Danio rerio: one gene and its partner. The protein of the gene in region 1 purifies or fractionates together with the protein of each later gene. This does not show direct contact. Links are inferred from orthologs where the notes say so. Each region holds a gene or a part of one and is shown in the gene's direction. Other genes may lie near its edges.

What was found. Proteins that work in one complex are often made in the same cells at the same time.
Region 2: the proteins of kcnq1.1 (region 1) and nedd4l purify together in Homo sapiens (affinity purification with western blotting, with the first as the bait; 3 studies listed by BioGRID). This does not show direct contact. The link is inferred for Danio rerio from reciprocal best matches to the Homo sapiens genes KCNQ1 and NEDD4L.

Annotation. Positions count from the first base shown.
Region 1 is NC_133182.1:50,424,426-50,434,777, forward strand, and holds part of kcnq1.1 (potassium voltage-gated channel subfamily KQT member 1.1), read left to right. Parts: intron 1-4,769; coding exon 4,770-4,896; intron 4,897-5,006; coding exon 5,007-5,085; intron 5,086-6,311; coding exon 6,312-6,408; intron 6,409-9,820; coding exon 9,821-9,961; intron 9,962-10,086; coding exon 10,087-10,197; intron 10,198-10,283; coding exon 10,284-10,352. UniProt on the Homo sapiens protein: Pore-forming subunit of the voltage-gated potassium (Kv) channel involved in the regulation of cardiomyocyte excitability and important in normal development and functions of myocardium, inner ear, stomach and colon.
Region 2 is NC_133196.1:12,254,917-12,265,268, reverse strand, and holds part of nedd4l (E3 ubiquitin-protein ligase NEDD4-like), read left to right. Parts: coding exon 1-56; intron 57-1,641; coding exon 1,642-1,749; intron 1,750-4,016; coding exon 4,017-4,113; intron 4,114-5,127; coding exon 5,128-5,200; intron 5,201-7,937; coding exon 7,938-8,040; 3' UTR 8,041-10,352. UniProt on the Homo sapiens protein: E3 ubiquitin-protein ligase that mediates the polyubiquitination of lysine and cysteine residues on target proteins and is thereby implicated in the regulation of various signaling pathways including autophagy, innate immunity or DNA repair.

The DNA of each region.
Region 1 (10,352 bases):
TGTTCTGATGGGTTGTCACAGAGATGTTTGCTGATGAAGTGAGCCTCAGATCAGCTCTGACGAAGTTCAAGTGTTCATATCCTCAAATAATAAGACAGAGATTAAAAACTTGAGTCTTCAGTTGATCTTCTTATGCGTTCCAAAGAAGAAAGAAGCTCAAACCGGTTTGTGACAAGTCAAGGGTGAGAAAATGATGACAGAATTGTCATTTCTGAGTGAAATATCCCTTTAATACTTTTGGTGACATCTGTATGATTCACTTTTAGTATTACATATTCTGATTGGATTAGGGTCCTTTAGTTTAGTCCTTTAGTTCATGAAAAATGTATTGACTTTATGAGCTATGAAGATATTTCATCAGTTTATTAAAATTTTACAGAAATGGCAGGATGGTTTTACAGAAAAATTCAAACAAATATGATCCCTAACCCTTCTCGGATAAACAAAATAAAATTACAATTACACACACAAAAAAAGACAAATAAATAAATTTAAATTTTAAAAGCGTAGTTAGTGTCAGTTATGTACACTGTAAAACCCAACAGTCAACTTTATCAAATGAAATGACTGTAGTTAACTCAAAACTTGCTGAATGGTAATTATACTCATTTGAAAAGAGTTTTGAACTTTTAATTAAATACCTCATTACTTCAAGTTAAATGGAGTAAGTTCACAGTACTCATCATAGATTAGTTTTTTAACTCAGATGGTTTGTTGCAATCATTTTCCTCAAACGGTTTAAGTTGTCTTAACTTATTGAGTTTTACAGTACTTAGTTGGTTTGAGTTCTCTTCATTTGTTGGGTTTTACTGTGCTCAAATTGCTTCATTTACTCAAATGGATTAAGTTAACAGTACTCATTAGGATTAGTTTATAAACCTAAATGGTTTGTTGCAATCAGTTTCACTCAAACGGTTTGAGTTACTTAAACTTTTTGGGTTTTTATTCATTAATTTTCTTGTCGGCTTAGTCCCTTTATTAATCTGGGGTCGCCACAGTGGAATAAACCTCCAACTTATCCAGCAAGTTTTTACGCAGCGGATGCCCTTCCAGCCGCAACCCATCTCTGGGAAACATCCACACATACACAGACACACACACTCATACACTACGAACAATTTAGCCAACCAAATTTACCTGTACCGCATGTCTTTAGACTGTGGGGGAAACCGGAGTACCCGGAGGAAACCCACACGAACGCAGAGAGAACATGCAAACTCCACACAGAAACGGCAAATGGGGGGTAGGGGGGTTTACAGTGTATGACATATATATTGGATCACTTACATTTGGAAATAACCTTGTGATTGTATTATATTATATTATATTATATTATATTATATTATATTATATTATATTATATAACCCTTTAATTGTAATTTTATTGTTGTTGTAACACATGTACATCAACAATATAAAATTATAAACTTAATCCACAGATACTTACAATATACTTAATTAAATTCACTCTGCAATTAAAAGGCTGTAGAATACATTTTCATTTTTATGATGGAAATCTATGGGTTGGTCCATGTTTGCACATTACAGGGTCTTATTGGAAACTATTTGTATTGTCATATTTATTTACAGCATAAGAAATAGTGATGAGTCTAGTAGCAGGTTTTTGTGCTTTTCTGAAATATTCCTACACATAAACTGCATTTGACTTTGTAAACAGCGAGATGGCCTACTTTCAGTCAAGCTGCGCACAGTCTCTCCTCTGCTGGTTCCACTCAATTTTCTGTCACTATGTGTTTTACCCCTTCATGTTTTGCCTGTTCCCACAGGCTAGGGCTGTGCCTGTAATTTTCATTGAATTTTCAGAGAAGATTTAGGCGGGCTAGGCAAGCGAACTCATCCGGCCCCGTGCCAGAAAGCGTCCCCAGGCAGCTGACCAAGCTCCTTCAGACCCACATGCAGCTCTCCAGACTGCTTATGTGACAGTGGGCTTCACGGCCAGCCTCATAACTCATACATGTCTGGTTTCTCGCAGCTCTCAAAGGGCCTGCGCTCAGCAGACTCGCAGCCTTCCTTTGTTTTCGCTTCTTTAAGAAGCAGACGAGGGCAACTGCTGTTGTTGGCCATGACCATGAACCAGCCGTCCCATGTTTTCACACAACCCTGTGCTGATACTGTGAGGTCTAAATACGCATCTGTTACAAGCATGCCATGTATATTAAGGTTGTTTGCTTTATGCTATGCAAACTACAATCCATGCATGACTAAAATATTTGGTATATTTAAAACACTTATTCCAGTTCATTAAGAGATTAGTGATGCAAAAGCATATCAGTGTTACTGTATTCTTTTTTAAGCCAGGTGTTTAAATTAATGGTTTTGAATAGATCAGCATAAAAATGTCCTATATTTTACACATTTGCAAAAGTAGCGTTTCGTAATAAAGGATGACTGAAGCACTAGTTCTGTCACAAAAGACACACTATTAGCTATACACATTATACAATATCTTTTGCACTATGCACTGAATCTTCTAGTGTATGAATTTAATAAGAGTTTTTATTTATATATATATATATATATATATATATATATATATATATATATATATATATATATATATATATATATATATCGATTGTAAATATTTAGAAAGAAAAAACAAGGTCTGAAATGTCAAAAGCAGGTAACATTTTTACAATTTGTAAAATATTTTGGTATGTAAAGGTATGTAAATCATGTGAAGGTGTGTAAAGCATAATTGTCCGGAATTTTGCAGCGAGCTATAAACACAAACACATTTGTACAAACATTATAAATTAAATTCAATTCAGTTCAATTAAAACAAAATAAATACAGATACATTAGAGCCAGAAGTGTTTTTAAATCATGAACCATATAGAGTAGGTGCCGTTCAAAAGGTGTGCAGTCTAAATCGTCTGCCTAAGGGTAAAGATGTGAAAAGATGTCTAGCTGAATGTGTCGAATCTCTAAGTATTGTCAAGCCTTTTTTCCTGCAAATGCATGACATAAATTTCATCCATAGAAGGCGGATCATGGCCTATAATTTTTGAGTCAGTTTGCACTGTATTATAGACATGACTTTTTTGTTGACCTGCTAAACCACACGGTTATTGAAAAAGTCAGCACACTTTCAATCATTGCTCAAAAACCTGACCATACCAGTTGTAGATACTCCAAATGTTTTGAGCTGCCTTATGAAATGCCATCTTTGAGGCTTTTTTAGCGTGGGATTATCCTGCCACTTTAAAGATGCAGATATTGTGGTTTGGAGAAGCTTAAGACATATTTTTAGGGACATTGTTATTCAAAATAAGGGCGTAACATAATTTTTACTTCCTCTAAAACAGAATTTTCTTTGTTTTAAGAGCATTTAATATACAGCAGGGAAAATAAGTATTGAACACATCACCATTTTTCTCAGAAAACATATTTCTAAAGGTGCTGTTGACTTGAAATGTTCCCTGGATGTTGGTAAAAAACAAAGAAATCCATATAAGCAAAAGAAAAAAATCTAATTAGTTTACAAATGAAGTTATGCATAATAAAATTAAATGACAGCGAAAAAGTATTGAACACATGAAGAAAGTGAGGTGTAGAAAGGCACTGAATGCCCAGACAGCAACTGAAATCTCTTTTTAGTTATTTAACAATCCTCTGCCCTTTGTCAATGTAAATTATTATCAGCTGCTTCAGTCCAATATCTACAATTTAAAGATGATGAAGATAACACCAGGGTGGACATTTCAGCAAGACAAAGATCCAAAACACAGCCAAGGAAACTCTCAAATGCTTTCAGAGAAAGAAAATCAAGCTGTAGAATGGCCCAACCAATCACCTGACTTGAATCTAATTGAAAAAAATATATAAGGATCAGATTTGATAGACAAAACCCACAGAACCAAGATTTTTACACTCTGTTGAACAGATACTGTGTTTTGGTTGTTCAGTACTTATTCAGTGTGTCAATCCATTGTTGTAACACACTGTAGTTTTCAGATTTTTTTTTTTGTTTTTTTATGTATATGTGTTTATTGTTTGGGTTTTTACCAAAATCTGGTTCAATCCAATATCATCAGCTTCTTTAGAAATATTATTCATGGAAAAAAACATGACATGTTCAATACTTATTTTCCAAGCTGTACCTTTACGAGTACTACTCCTTTTGATTAATGCAAAATTATCTTCAACAAACTGAAAATATGTAACCGATTCACTTTGTGAAATGCATTCGTGTAAATGGAAAACAGAACCGATGACAATACACAGCCTTGTGGAGCACCAACGCTATTCTTCTGTTCATTTATTCAAAAATCAAAATCTTGTCAACAGAGCGTTCATTATGTGTCTGTTCATGGGATTTCAGCAATAGGTGCACAGCGCACACTGGAGGATTTTGTTCTGGGTATACCTCATAAATATTTCAAAAAGGCAATACTATTCCTCATGAGAAATATCTAGATATCTAGCTGCCGAGCTCTACAATGACAGCCTTTCACATTGCCCACATAATAAAGCTGTGTTATTAAATCCATTCTCAAAGCAGACGTCTCATCGCTCAAATAAATGACCTCTCTATACTTACAGCGCTCTATTATAACACAGCATTTTACATGATGTCAAAGTCGAATCAATTAGTTCTTTATCCTCACACTGTTTTGTTCAAATAAATCTCACGTTATGTCTCACTTACAATAATTTCTCATTGTCACGAGCGCATAATATCACTAATATATGCCTTTAGTGCCCTTTTGTGTAAGCACAATGTGTCTGTCTCTTTCATTCTGCAGGAATTAGTGCTGGTAATGTTCTTTGGTGTGGAGTACGTGGTCCGTCTGTGGTCAGCTGGATGCCGGAGTAAATATGTGGGAATTCTGGGCAGGCTTCGCTTTGCCCGAAAGCCAATTTCTGTTATTGGTGAGTGTCTACAATGAAATCACTTTCACTTTTTGGGATGTGTTTACAAAGCCTAACTAGATTGTGTTGTTACTATGGACGTGTTTACATTTCTTTTGTTTTTGTTCTAGACCTGATTGTGGTGGTGGCTTCTATTATAGTATTGGCATTTGGCTCTAATGGCCAGGTATTTGCTACCTCTGCTGTCAGGTAAGGTTAATATAACAAATAAGTCACTGTGGTCTCTTTATACATTGTGGTACTGTGTTAATCAGGCCCTGTTTACACCTGGTATAAAATGGGTTTTGATCTTTTTGATCAAAAATAGATGGAGTCACATTCTCAGTTATACCTGGTACTAAATCTCTGTTGTGCCCTTTTAGACCTTTCTGTTTACCTTTTTTTTTAACTTTAAATCTACGTTTCGCAAGTTTAACTACTGTCTGTCTAGTCTGCCAAATCAGTTCAGTATAGAGTTTTTGATTTTACAGGTGGTGTGAAATTAAAGTATTTAATTGTGATGCTGTGTTCACACCAGACGTGGATAAAGCAGCAAGTGTGATTGATTTACATGTTAAGTCAATCCAAAGACAAGAATAGACATCCTGCGTCGTGTTTCGCATGACTGAGGTGGCACGAACGACGTGTTTTTTGCGAACTGCTTGAGTTGGAAAATCTGATTTGAGGGGACAGTTGCGCTGCGTTAACCAATCAGGAGCTTGCTTTTATAGGGGCATGATTATGATGTAGTACCTGTTGTTGGTGTCCTATGGGGAAATCCTGTTTCTGACACCAGATAACAGCTCATCAAACTGGGCTTGGCTCAGTCTAAAGCACTGCTAAAAGACTCCATCATCCAGGTGTAGTTTCTGGAGGAGATGATGAACTCACAGAGCTGGGTGCACCTCTGAAAGGATCTAGTGGACTTAGGCACAGCGCAGAACAAATATATGCTGTTTTTCAGCATTCCTAAAGCACATAAAGCAGAGTTAATATCTCAATAAAATCCTTGTTAGCCATTTAGCAACGAAGCTAGAGTCACTGTGCAGAAAGATGCCTTGCCCATGACACAAATCTGCAAATTAAGAACTGCTTTTTTTCTAGCTGAAATAAAACAAATAAGACTTTCTCTAGAAGATAAAATATTATCAGACATACTGTGAAAATATCCTTGCTCTGTTAAACATATTTTAAAAAGAAAAAAATTAAAAGGGGGGCTATTAATTCTGACTTCAACTGTACATAGTAATCCATTGGCGACCAGATCACTCTTTTTTTTTATTTTTATGTATGTCAATTCTATCGGATATATTAAAGTGCAAAAAACTACTCTTCTGAATTTAAACCATTGCTTACTATGTTTATTGTTAATACTATGTGCAAAAATTAAAGTGATTCTCTTGCACTGTTGTAAGTCTTGCTGATATTGTTTACAGAGGAGTCCGCTTCCTTCAAATTCTGCGAATGCTGCATGTGGATCGACAAGGTGGAACATGGCGGTTGCTTGGATCAGTAGTGTTTATACATCGACAGGTGAAGACGATGTGTTTTGGATTTGTAATTCATTACAGTGCACTACATTCTTAATAATAATAGGCAGGGCTGGACTGGGGCAAAAAATCGGCCCTGGCATTTTGGGCCACAGTGGCCCACTACATTCAATCAAAATGCTATCTATCTATGCACGTCCAGTATTTTAATCAAATCATATTTTATAAAACACAAAAGCCATATATATGAAATAAATAAATACAAACTTTAATCTCAATTTCATTTCTGTATACTGTCCATGAAGATATTTGTTGAGTTCTAAAAAATACACTATTCAATCATTTTTCTTCGCATATGTCCCTTATTTATCAGGGGGTTGCCGCAGTGGAATGAACTGCCAACTATTCCAGCATGTTTTATGCAGCAGATGCATTTCCAGCCCCAACCCAATATTGGAAATCACCCATACACACTCATTCACACACACTCATACACTACGGCCAATTTAGCTTATTCAATACACTATTCACTCAACCTATATTCAATAATAAACATAACAAAAACTGCCTGCTGATGCATGGGTAAATCTTCAAAGGGAACAGTGTTACATTTTATCCTCTTTCACCTCATCCTGCTTGCTGTTTCACTATCTAAACAATGAAGACATAATATAAGTCAAATTTGTTTCATTTTGATATTGTGATTAACAGACACTAAACAGCCTCGTGTAGCTGCATACTTATATGAGCGTCATCTTCACTCTGCATATTTATTTATTTATTATTAGTGTGTGGTCACGTGATTTGCGTTTTTAGCCGTGACTAGAATGACCGGAGAACTTTTCAGAACTGCAAAATGAAACGCCGGTGTATTTCCCGCGATTTCTCTGCGCCTCCCTTGCATTTCTTCTCTCTGACTCTCGACTATTTTGACAAATAAACACAGACGACGCACGCTCATACAGAGCCCAAAATAGGAGTTTGTGATTGGGCCATCCCCAATGTCAATACAGAAATGAGCCAATGGGCTGCAGAGTGTCACATGGGCCGACCCGGTCTGTCTGTCCGGGGGGGAAAAAAAGCATCTTTCAGAGAGTCACAGATCACAGCAGCGTCAATTAATAAGGCAGAAAAAAACAATAGGCTGCTAAGCCTTTTATGGGACGATAAGATCATAAGACGATGATCAGCCCGGCCCAAAAAGTACGTCGGCCCACCGGGAAAGTGCCCAGTCTGCCAGATGGCCAGTCCGCCCCTGATAATAGGCTAGTTACAGAATAGGAACTAGGCCTCATGCAAGCCTAGTTCCCAGAGAACTAATCTCCCCCACAGAACATTTCGAGGTTGCATTTGCAGCATCATCAGGAAGTGATGAAAGCCGCACGTTATGCTCCAGTGTGAAAACTCTTCATAATTAAGCATTTATGTCAATAGAGAATTGATTTATTCTTTTCTCATGGAAATGTGTGTTTGCAGTTTATGAAAAGGACCAATTACACTGATCAGCGGTCTGTTTACACTGCAGGGTTTCAGTTAGAATTCACACTCTTTCAATGGCAAGTTATTACCAAATTCTGGGTCAAATATTTCATACGTGCTTGCTATTTTTTTTGTGTCTTCTTGGAGGTTTGTATTTGTACAAAGTATTGAGATGTCACTGTGTTGTGGTAAAGGATTTAAATTATTAAAGTACCAAATTTAGTCTCAGTGTTTCCTGCACACACTTTTAACCTGGTGGAATCTTTAGCAGTACAACAAAAAAAGGAAGCCCTTTATTTTACAATATATGTACTTGAATTGCACTTGGCTTAGAAGCTGTAAAGATTAGGTTCGGGGTTAGGTTTAGAGTTAGTTACTAGTTATTTTCCAGTTTTTGTGATGACTGTGAAGAAACAGGACTGTAAAATAAAGTGCCATTGTTGATATTTCAGTAAGCATACAGTCTGAATCATATGTCAAATACTGCATAACAGTAAATAATGAGCTGTCCTTGTGGGCTCAGCCTAAAAAAATGTACCACATGTATTAAAGTTTATTGAGAAATGACTCTTATGAGCCATTTCAAATGAAGCAAAAATATAGCAGTGAAGCCCTATTCTCTTTTATGTCTAGACTTTAAATAATTCAGAGTGTATCTGCAAAAGCAATATCCCATATTTTAGACCATAGGCAAAGATAGCATTTCATGATGAAGCTTGACTGAGTCACTATTCTCCCAAAAATATGCACTATATACTGTCAGGTCCAAAAATATTGGAACATCAACACAATTTCAATACACCAACACAATTGATCTGTACTGAAATGAACAAGATGTGCTTTAACTGCAGACTATCAGCTTTAATTTGAGGGTATATACATCCAAATCGGGTGAACAGTGTAGGAATTACAACAGTTTGCATATGTGCTTCCCACTTGTTAAGGGACCAAAAGTAATGGGAGAGAATAATAATCATAAATCAAAGTTTCACTTTTTAATACTTGGTTGCAAATCTTTTGCAGTCAATTGCAGCCTATATACCCTCAAATTAAAGCTGACAGTTTGCAGTTAAAGCACTTCTTGTTCGTTCCATTTTAAATCCATTGTGTTCGTGTATAGAGCCACAAATGTTTGAATTGTGCTGATGTCCCAATATTTTTGGACCTAACTGTACATTAGTATTACACTATGCTCTTAACTGTCCAGAGTATGAACTTACTATTAGAGTCCAAAAGCACCATTGAACCACATATTTACAGATTTTAATGCATCATCTAAATATTTTTGAAGTGCATCGTTTCTTTTCGGACTTTCAGTAAAAACACTCTACTTGCACTATTTATACTTCTGTATTTTAAAAATATTTATTCATTCATTTTCTTGTCGGCTTAGTCCCTTTATTAATCCGGGTTCGCCACAATAGAACGAACCGCCAACTTATCCAGCATGTCTTTACGCAGAGCATACCCCTCTAGCCGCAACCCATCTCTGAGAAACATCCACACACACACACACACACACACACACACACACACACACACACACACTACAGTTAATTTAGCTTACCCAATTCACCTGTACTGCATGTCTTTGGACTGTGGGGGAAACCGGAGCACCCGGAGGAAACCCACGCAAACGCAGGGAGAACATGCAAACTCCACACAGAAACGCCATATGTGCCTAGGCACTACCTACTGCACCACTGCGTCGCCATTTTAAAAATATATATCACCTAATATTTTTTATTTTCATTGAGCTTGTCTTGCTTGATTAATGTATACGTATTTGTTATATTTCCTTTTTATTCACCATATGCAAAACATTAGTTGATAGATGACCACCATGTTTGTTTGTGTTGCAATTCAGAGCTATTTAGAGCTATTCTATTCATATTTTTATGCATCAAAAGTTAAAGAATCTTGCTTTTTAAGACTTTTCTGCAAGAAAACTTTTAGTGAATGTTTCCTCTTTCCAGGAACTGATCACAACTCTCTATATCGGATTCCTGGGGCTCATCTTCTCCTCCTACTTTGTGTATCTGGCAGAGAAGGATGCGGTGGATGACCACGGCAACTCTGGGTTTGGCAGCTACGCCGATGCTCTGTGGTGGGGTGTGGTACGTCCATCTCCACCTACACCTTTCATAGACACAATGCCTTTGAGGTGGATAATTGAAGGCATACAGCCATGAATTGGATCATGTTGAGTAAAGGGTGTTGTGTGTCAATGTCTTTTCTGCAGGTAACAGTAACCACTATTGGCTACGGAGACAAGGTTCCTCAGACTTGGATAGGAAAGACTATTGCATCATGTTTCTCTGTCTTCGCTATCTCCTTTTTTGCCCTCCCTGCAGTAAGTAACAGAGATTTAATAGCCAGAACAATTGTTCCTCGCACAGCAGGCCAGTGTATGGGAAGAATGATAGTATTTCCCCACAGGGAATCCTGGGCTCCGGTTTTGCTCTGAAGGTACAGCAGAAACAGAGACAAAAACATTTCAACAGGCAA
Region 2 (10,352 bases), on another chromosome or scaffold:
TCACTGAACTCATTCCCATCGACTTAATAAAGATTTTTGATGAAAACGAACTGGAGGTATTGGCTTCCCACATTATACTCTGCTGTTTTTATTTTTAAAAAATAATCCTTTATAGCTAACACACTTATCAAAGTGTCTCTGTTTTGTTGAATGAATCATTTCTTCACTCATGCATTTCTCTCTGAGCTGGTGTTTGCACAGGGAGTGAACATCACACTTAATTTCATCGTTGCAGCAGATAATAAATAGATAAAAGATAAAACCATATACTGTGGGCTCAGTCTGACAGCCAGTAGAGAGTCTGCTGTATTATTTATAATGCAGTGTATTTGCTGCATGATTTCAGCAGAGTGAAACTGTTTTTGGAATACCTGATTTATATACAACATTTTAAGTGTTTGACACGTGTGTTTGTTTGGTTATTGGGGGAAGGGCTGCCTTTTTGTTTGCGTGTTTGTTTTTTTGGGATTTTTTTGTTTGTTTTTTGTATTTGGTTTAGCTGTTTTGGGGGTTATTTTGTGGTGGGGTGGGGGTGTATTTTTGTGTGATTTGTTTGTGTTTTTACTTTTTAGGGAGTAGTTGTTTTTTATGGGAAAGATGTTTTGTTTTTTGTTTTTGCATTTTGTTTTTATGGAGTTGTTTTTTTGGGTGGGCTGTTTTGTTTAGTTTTTTCAGGAGGTTTTTTCTGTTGTTTATGTGTGTCTGTGTTTTTTAATGATTTTTTTTTTTTTTTTTTTTTATTGGGGCTTTGTGTTTTGGGCTTTATTTTCATTTTTTTAATGGTCAGACTGCCAGCATGTGTAAGCTCTTTAGTTATGTAGTAGTTTTAAAACCAAATTCACAAGAAGGGCATAACATTTGTACAGCACATTATTATTATTATTCATATTATTATTAGATTTGCTTGCCATCAATAGTTGAATGTTACAACTTCTGCGAATGGGGTGAATGTGCTAGCTCAAATTTAGGTATAGAAACACAAATTCATAAAGACTATTTAGTTTCTGTTCATTACTTTCCTAATGCATGACAATATAATATTTACTTTTAAGTTATTGACCGATTATTAAAATTTCTAAAAAAATAATTATAATATACAGTGCTCAGCTTTTATAAGTACACCCCCCACAAATCTCTCATTTAAAATAATATTATCTATAAGATGATTTACAATATTATATTTGTGCATATATATTATTCAGTCTAATACCAAATCTGGAGCTAATCTAACAAAATAACCTACGTTAAGGGTTAAAAAAGTAGCTCAAATTTGTATGTGAGGGAAAAATATTAAATAACATTTTAAAAAATAGCAAAAACCAAAAGAAACTAAAAATATATATAAACCTTTGTCGGAATGTGGGTTGTAATTTTGTTTTGTAATATTTTGCATGAATGTTCGGTGACTAAAATTATATTTTAATAAATATATCTGTTTAATAAATCTGTTTTGTTTAAATGCACCAAAATATATTACCCATATTCCCAAAAAATGGATACAAATATTAATTTTCAAAATGGGGTGTACTCATTTATGCTGAGCACTGTACATTCAGCATGGATGTAGGGAATATAGGGTGATCTAGAGGATGATGAGTGTAAAGTTAATATTAATGTGTGTAATATTGTCTGTTTCTCCAGCTGTTGATGTGTGGTCTGGGAGATGTGGATGTCAATGACTGGAGGCAACACACTGTCTATAAGAACGGCTACTGTCCAAATCACCCCGTCATCCAGTGGTTCTGGAAGGCAAGTACAAGCGTTAAAAATCTGTGTGTTTTGTATGCATCATAAGTTTAGACGCAATCATTCTGTATTAGTATGGTATTACGCATTTATAAAGAGACAGTTCACCCCAAAATAAATAATGTCACTGTTGACACCCTATAAATCGTTATAAACCTGTTTGAATTTCTTCTGAAAGACCCAAAAGAAGATATTTTTGGAAACTGGTAACCATTTACTTACATAGAAGGACTAAATATATTATCAGTCAATGGTTACAGGTTTCCAGCTTTCTTCAGAATATCTTTGGTTGTGTTTGACAGTAGAAAGAAACTGAATGGTTAAAAGGCAATGGTGAGGAAAATATAACAGAATTTTCATTTTTAGTAAACTCGCAAATTTTAGTTTTGTTCCTTCATTTTCTGATTTTTATGATTTATTTTATGCATCACAAACTGAAATGCATTGAGGATTACAAAAAATGTTTTTTTTCCTTAAGATTTGTATATAGCCAAATTCTCTACTTTTAATTTGAGGCATTGGAACATAATCCATTAGGTTTAAAAATGTTACATTTCAATTTTTCTATATTACATAATACATTTATAAACAACCACCAGTTGTTCATAAACAGCCAAAGTGCTTCATAAAGTCTAGATGAACTAAATAAATCATAAAAAAACAGTGTATCGTATTGAAAAACTCAACTCGTGAGACGTGATCTCAATCAAATGTATTCCAACTTATGCATGCGTGCGTGCGTGTGTGTGACCTCCAGCCCAGTGCACTGATCAAAGTCTGTTTGATGTGAGGCTCATCCAGTGTTTGCTGTGATGAAAGAGGCATTAGCAACTCCTTATCAGCGTCTGAAGCCTGAGCTGCTCTTTCCACATATATATATATATATATATATATATATATATATATATATATATATATATATATGCACATTTATATATGCAAAACATAAAACAGGATCTTTAAATCACACTCAATGTAGATCTTTTCTTAACATAAGATAGGTGTTGATCCAAAATTCCAACAAAATCTAACTTTTTCCAATCTTATCTTCATGAATTCAAGTCCTCTCTAATTAAAAATAGGGCATAAAAGTAGCAAAAATGATTCAGCGTTTTTTTTTTTTTTTTTTTCCTGAATTTTAGTTCACACTACTTGTTTGCGCTCCTGAATTGCTAGAATGTTCCACAATTTGAAATATTTAGGATTTGACACTTTTCTCCATATACACTACCTAACAAAAGTTAATCCCAGTTGTAAGAGCAACAAATACCTTCTAGTTGATCCCTTGGAAAAGTAGCAGAAGGTCGATTTTTCTGATGAATCACAAATACTGCAGAAGACCTATTGGAGCCTGCATGGACCTAAGATTCTCACAGTTTGGTGAAAGTTTGGTGAAGGAAAATTCATGGTTTGGGATTACATTCAGTGTTGGGGCATGTGAGATATCTGCAGAGTGGATGGCAACATTAACAGCCTGAGGTATCAAGACATTTGTGCTGCCATTACATTACAAACCACAGGAGAGGGCAAATTCTTCAGCAGGATAGCGCTGCTCCTCATATTTCAGCCTCCACATCAAAGTTCCTGAAAGAAAAAAGGTTAAGATGCTCCAGGATTGGCCAGCCCAGTCACCAGACATGAACATTACTGAGCATGTCTGGGGTAAGATGGAGGCATTGAAGATGATTCCAAAGAATCTTTATGAACTCTGGGAGTCCTGCAAGAACACTTTTGTCATTCCAGATGACTTTATTAATAAGTGATTTGAGTCATTGCAGAGATGTATGGATGCAGCCGTCCAAGCTCATGGGAGTCATACACAATATTAACACTAATACTAGAGGCCTATGTCTTTAATAGAAGCCACTTCTAATACCAAATGATCAACTACAAGTCAAGTTATTGTTTTTTGTTCCAAAAACTTGGGTAGGCGACAAGACATTTGTCAAGTAATATATATGTTAAGCTGCAATCTACATGGTAAAAGTGCTATAGAAGTAATAAATACATTTTACAATAGAATATGAAGGTTTTTATATTGACACTCGAGAATGTTTATCTAAATGCAGTGCATGTGTATTGTGGCTGTTTTGAGTACATTAAGTAGAAAGCTTTATGTCAATGATTTTTTTTATTGATGGTTATTTAAACGTGAATCTACTGTATGTATTTCTTCAAAAGTTCCAACACTGTTTTGTCTATGTAATAATTTTAAGCTCATTGACTGCTAGTTAGTGGTATAACTGTATTTCTCTTATGGTCTCCATTAGGCTGTGTTGTTAATGGATGCAGAAAAGCGCATCAGGCTTCTACAGTTTGTCACTGGAACATCCAGAGTGCCAATGAACGGCTTTGCTGAACTCTACGGTAAAACTCTACATACACTGCCACATATATGTATAGTAGATATGCCCTGGCTAATATGTCATATATTCCAGTTATTTTCAAACATCAAAAATGTTTTCAGATATTGTCAAAATCTCAATTCATTAATGATGTATGGTTTGTTAAGATACATCTGCTTGAAAATCCGGAATCTGAGGCTTAAAATAAAAGAGAAAATCCCCTTTAAAATTGTCTAAATGAAGTTGATAGCAAAGCATATTACTAACTAAAAATTAAGTTTCAGTATATTTACAATAGGAAATGAACAAAATATCTTCATTTATGGTCCAGGGTCACACCTGTGCTATATTGTTCATTTAAAACCCCCGAAATGTCAATATTGCGACAGAAAGCAAATTGTTAAACATATACTTTGTGGAGTGCCCTATTTTTAATGTTATCAGACAACAGTTTTTATCTGGAAAGACTTTAAATGAAATATTTTAACAGTGATTCCTTTTAAAATTGCACAACTTTTTTATCAAAAGCAAACCTTAAACTGTTTTACATTTTTATCTTTTATATTATTGTTCTTATTATTTGTGTATTTTACCTAATGTATTATTTATTGCTGTTGATGTCTTTTTATTGCAATCATTTTGTATTATTATTTGATAAAAGGTTGTAAATTTGATCTGGTTTTGCCATGAAATAGGCAGAGAAGCTGATATGGCAATAATTCAAATCTCTCTCTCTCTCTCTCTCTCAAATTGTTAATTTATAATATAATAACAGAAAAAAGCTCTATGTATACAAAAAACATGACTAATAAGTATATATCATTTATAACATGCATAAATATGTTCTAGTATATTGTGGAAAACTAAAATGATCATTCAGAAAACATCACTATTAGTACTGCAACTAGAGTCATTTCCCTTGGCAATATCATGAAGACGGTCTGTTTGTAGCATCTTGGTGTTCCCATTTGAGACCTATAGAACAAGTTTGCCCCTTTTCTAATTGGTTCTTGACAAGTCATGTGGTCTATTGCAGGTTCCAATGGGCCGCAGTTGTTTACTATTGAGCAGTGGGGAACTCCTGACAAACTCCCTCGGGCTCACACCTGGTAAGACCTGTAGGGTTTCAACACTTTATTCATGTAAACACATCATTATAGGTTATCTTAAACTCTCTGGGAGATTTTAATGTATTATATAGTATTAAAATAATTGTTTTTATTTGGCGCATTTACAAAGAGAATATTCTACTGTATTTAACAAAAACCTGTTGTGAGTTATCTTTCACTTTGTATTTTTAAAATAAGGTAAAAACTCAAGTTATTAAAAGAGCATTTGTAGTTGAAACAATAGATACTCTATCTTGTCGATATGATTTTAATTTGATCAGAAAAAAGTCAGAAAAAAGTTCAAATTTTTAGAAGTCAGAAAAAGTTCACATTTTTACAAGGTTGCCAGGCTTCTTGAAAGTACTTAAAAGTACTTAAATTTCAGACATATGGATTTAAGGCCTGGGACGTACTTAAAAATAGAGGTCCTTGACAGTGCTTGAATTAAATTTGAAATTAAATTTATTTATGATTTATTCAAGAACTGGACTCAATTGTCAAAAGCAGAATGTAAAAATGACATAAAATGCACATCTTAATGTTTCTGTAACTGCAGATGAATATAACCAGTATTGAATTCAACAAATTTTATTAAAGTTCTTTCAAAATTACTTTTTAAAACGGTTAAAAAATTATTTGCATGTGAATTAAGTGCAGTGAGGACTTTTATGGTGCTACATATGCTCGGATGTGAATTACAAAGGTTCTTGATTTAAAAATAAATGGTGCTTTAAAAGTAATTGAATCTGGTGAAAAAAGTTACATTTTTAGAAGTCAGAAATAAAGTTCACATTTTTAGAAGTCAGAAATAAAGTTCACATTTTTAGAAGTCAGAAATAAAGTTCACATTTTAGAAGTCAGAAATAAAGTTCCCATTTTTAGAAGTCAGAAATAAAGTTCACATTTTTAGAAGTCAGAAATAAAGTTCACATTTTAGAAGTCAGAAATAAAGTTCACATTTTAGAAGTCAGAAATAAAGTTCACATTTTAGAAGTCAGAAATAAAGTTCACATTTTAGAAGTCAGAAATAAAGTTCACATTTTTAGAAGTCAGAAATAAAGTTCACATTTTTAGAAGTCAGGAAAAAAAAATATTTTAGAAGTCAGGAAATAGCCAAAAGTTTTTGAAAAAGTGAACATTTTTAAAAGTCAGAAAAAAATTCACATTAAGAGGTCAGAAAAAGTCAAAAGATAAGTTAAAATTTTTAAGTCAGAAAAAAACATTCGGTAACACTTTATTTTGTGTTACTGCTCCTTCAACAGATATTAACTGACTATAAGAAACTTTGCATGTACATGTCAACCTAGGCTAACCCTAACCCCAACTTAACAGTCTACTTATAATTTAATGAGAATTAGTTGGCATGTATGCAATGTAACTTAATTCATTAAATGAACCATCAAAATAAAGTGTAATGCCTAGTTCAGACTGCGTGATTTTAGCCCCGATTTTGGCTCGCCGACAGGTTTTGAGAAATCGCCGACAAATGCCTGAAATCACAGGCAAATCGCTGCTCGTGCACGTGAGTGACAATCACACAGTATGAACTTTCAAAGACGCGATCTGAGAGAATCGCAGATGAGTCGCCGATGCCTGTGAGATATTTGGCATGCTAAATATCTGGAGCTGTCGGCGATTCAAATCATGCCGTGTGAATTGAGTTTTGACTGAAAATAACATCAGCCATCGCCTACAGCCAATGAGAGAGCAGCATTCACTTGTGTGTGTGTGTGTGTATACCTGCTGAAGGCTAGCGGGAGGCTGGGGGAGAAGTTAAAAGCGCTCTTTTTCGGTTTATTTGGACCCATGAAATGGAGGAAAAACTAGTGGAGGTTTAACAGGACTCAGGAGCAACTGTGTCTGTTTGACGTTTCATACAGAAAGAAATTAGTTTATTGTCAATGTTGAGGAGAAATGGCTAATTCCCTTTAAACCCAGGTGAGCAAACATGTACATGTTCAACCCCATTAAAGGCTTCTTTCTCATTATGTAGTTAATAACAAAAGATATACTACGTGTTTTTGGCTGTGAGACATAGTTTGGATGAAGTTGTCAGCGATTCTTCCTATAGTAAAGTCATACAATGTGAATGTCCCTGTCGCTGATCCATCTTGCAGTGTAAACAAAGCAGCGACGAAAAGCTAGCCCAGATAGTCATGCAGTGTGAAAACATCTGTGACACGACTACTTCGAAAATCATGCAGTCTGAAATTGGCAAAACCAACAGTTCACATTTTTAGAAGTCAGAAAAAATACTTACAAGAAGTCGGAAAGAAAAGTTAAAATTTTAGAAGTCATGAAATAGCCAAGTTTAAAAAAAAAAAAAAAAGTCACATTTTTAGAAGTCAGAATTTTTTTTTTTTTTCATTTTTAGAATCAGAAAGAGTTAAGTCAGAAAAGAAATTCACATTTTTAGATATCAGAAAAAAAAAACATTAGCGTTTTTAGAAGTCAGAAAAAAATATTTGCGTTTTTAGAAGTCAGAAAAAGAGTTAAGTTAGAAAAAAAAGTTTAAAAATTTTACTTTAATACGTTTAATACAAATTTTATAAATCAGAATTGTAAAATATTATATTTTAATTGTTAGATAAAAACCTTTTTTTTCTCACAATATTTCATTACAAATTGTACATACATAATACATTTCGTATTTGTTATTCCATGCTGGCTTTCACAGATTTACTACTGCTAATGCGCTGAATGCGTTTTTGAACAATTCCATTTTCTCCCCATTCAGCTTTAATCGCTTGGACCTCCCAATGTATGAAACGTTTGAAGACCTGCGAGAGAAGCTTCTGATGGCGGTGGAAAACGCTCAAGGCTTTGAGGGCGTCGACTAAAGAACCCCCCTCCCCTGTTTTATACACCTGATCTCCTAATGCAACCGACGAGCAAAGACATGTACAACACACACATATCTAAACTCACATACACACTCTCTCTTTCTCGAGTTGCCATTGTACAGCCAGATTGCAGCAGCCGCAGGTGTGTGTGATGTCAGCAGTATATGCATGTATCTGTCTAGCTGGAACGGCATTAGCTGTCAACCCTGTCAAACAAACAGTCCTGCAGTACGTCAAGATCTTTCCTGACAAAATCACAATCTTTCCTGACATGTTTTATTTTTAAATTCAGCTATGGATTCTAAACTCCAGTATTTGAAGCCCCCAGTGGGTGTGGCCTCAGAATGGGTGTGGCCTTGATCCAGCATTAAAAACCACCCTTTTTTGCATTACGTTCAGCAAAGTGGCAACAACGAACTCTTTTATCAGGTTTAACTAACACCAGATTACCTTAGGAATGACAGCCAGGATGAAGGTCCCAATCCTCATCCTCCCTTATCCCACAAAATACGCCAAGTTTCCTTCCTTCCTTGGTCGAGGATTATTTTTTTATCGTCTTTCGCAATGCCAAGAAGCAAGCAGTTGTTTTTAATAGTTTATTATTCTCGCTGTTATTATAATTATCTTACAGAGTAAACGGATATTTGTACCAACAATGTGGTTTACTATTTTAAACGACAACATTATCAGAAATGCATCAGTGGCCTGGCTATATTCAAAATTCATATCATCGTGGGTAAAAAAACAAAAAAGACAAAAAAAAAAAAAACATGATCGACATGATTATTGTATTGCTATGAAAACTGGCATGCACATGTATCTTGTGTTTCAATATGATTGCGTAGTAATTCTAAAGCTATTCTTCTCAGTTCAGAGCAAAGATCGGCAAAGTGGTTTTGACGGAGAGGGTTTTCTTCAATTGTAAAAGTATTGTTCTTATCTTTATTATGATTATACCTGTTCATAATGCTGTAAATGAGTTTTGTTTCTGGGAAAGAAGCGGTTGGACTCTTTTACTGTACGTGTTTGAAGTATTAAAGAACGACACAGAGTGAAGCTATCTTAAAAAAAGCGCTGTGATTCAACACTGCAAGTCTTGTAGACTTTCAGGTCGTAAACTTTCCTTCTTTCTGTCTTTCTTTCTTTCTTTGTTTCTTTTAACACCACTGTACCTAAAAGGGCACTTTATTGATCACACACTAGGGTCATAACACGTCTATTTGTGAACTTGAATGTGATTATCTTTTTTTTTTTCTTTTATAAGCACTCATTCACCTGGTGCAATATCTATTGTTTATAATCGGCCTGCTGCTAACATATCAGATTACAGCTCGTCCCTACAGCAAATCTGGAGTCACTCTGCTTCAGTATGAACCTGAAGTCATTTTGGTTCTTCAGTGTGAATTTGCAGTCACAATGAATCTAGAATCACTTATTGTTCATCAATGTGAAACTGGAGTCTCTCTGGTTCTTTAGTGTGAATCTAGAATCACTTTTTGTTCATCATTGTGAATCTAGAGCCTCTCTGGTTCTGCAGTGTACATCTCCAGTGACTTTAGTTCATCAGTGTGAATCTGGAGTCTCTTTGAGTCTTCAGTGTGAATCAATCTAGAATCACTTTGGTTCATCAATGTGAATCTGGAGTCTCTCTGGTTCTTTAACCAGGATCTAGAATCACTTTGTTTCATCAACTCAAATCCAGAGTCTTTGTTTTGTGTGTGTGTGTGTGCGTGCGTGCGTGCGTGTGTGTGCGCGTGTGTGTGTGTAAATTTACAATCACTTTGATTTATCATTGTAAATCTGGAGTCTCTGTTCATTTAGTGTGAATCTAGAATCACTTTTTTTTCATCAATGTGAACCTGGAGTCTCTGGTTTTTTAATCAGGATCTAGAATCACTTTGTTTCATCAACTTGAATCCGGAGTCTTTGGTTTTTTTAGTGTGAATCTAGAATCACTTTGGTTCATCATTGTGAATCTGGAGTCTCCAGTTCTTTAGTGTGAATCTAGAATCACATTGGTTCATCGTTGTGAATCTGGAGTCTCCAGTTCTTTAGTGTAAATCTAGAATCACTTTGGGTCATCATTGTGAATCTGGAGTCTTCATTTCTTTAGTGTGAATCTAGAGTCATTCTTTGTTCATCAATGTGAATCGGGAGTCTCTCTGGTTCTTTAATGGGGATCTAGAATCACTTTGGTTCATCAACTCGAATCTAGAGTCTCTAGTTCTTTAGTGTAAATCTATAATCACTTTGGTTCATCAATGTGAATCTGGAGTCTCACAGGTTCTTTATTGTGAATCTGGAGTCTC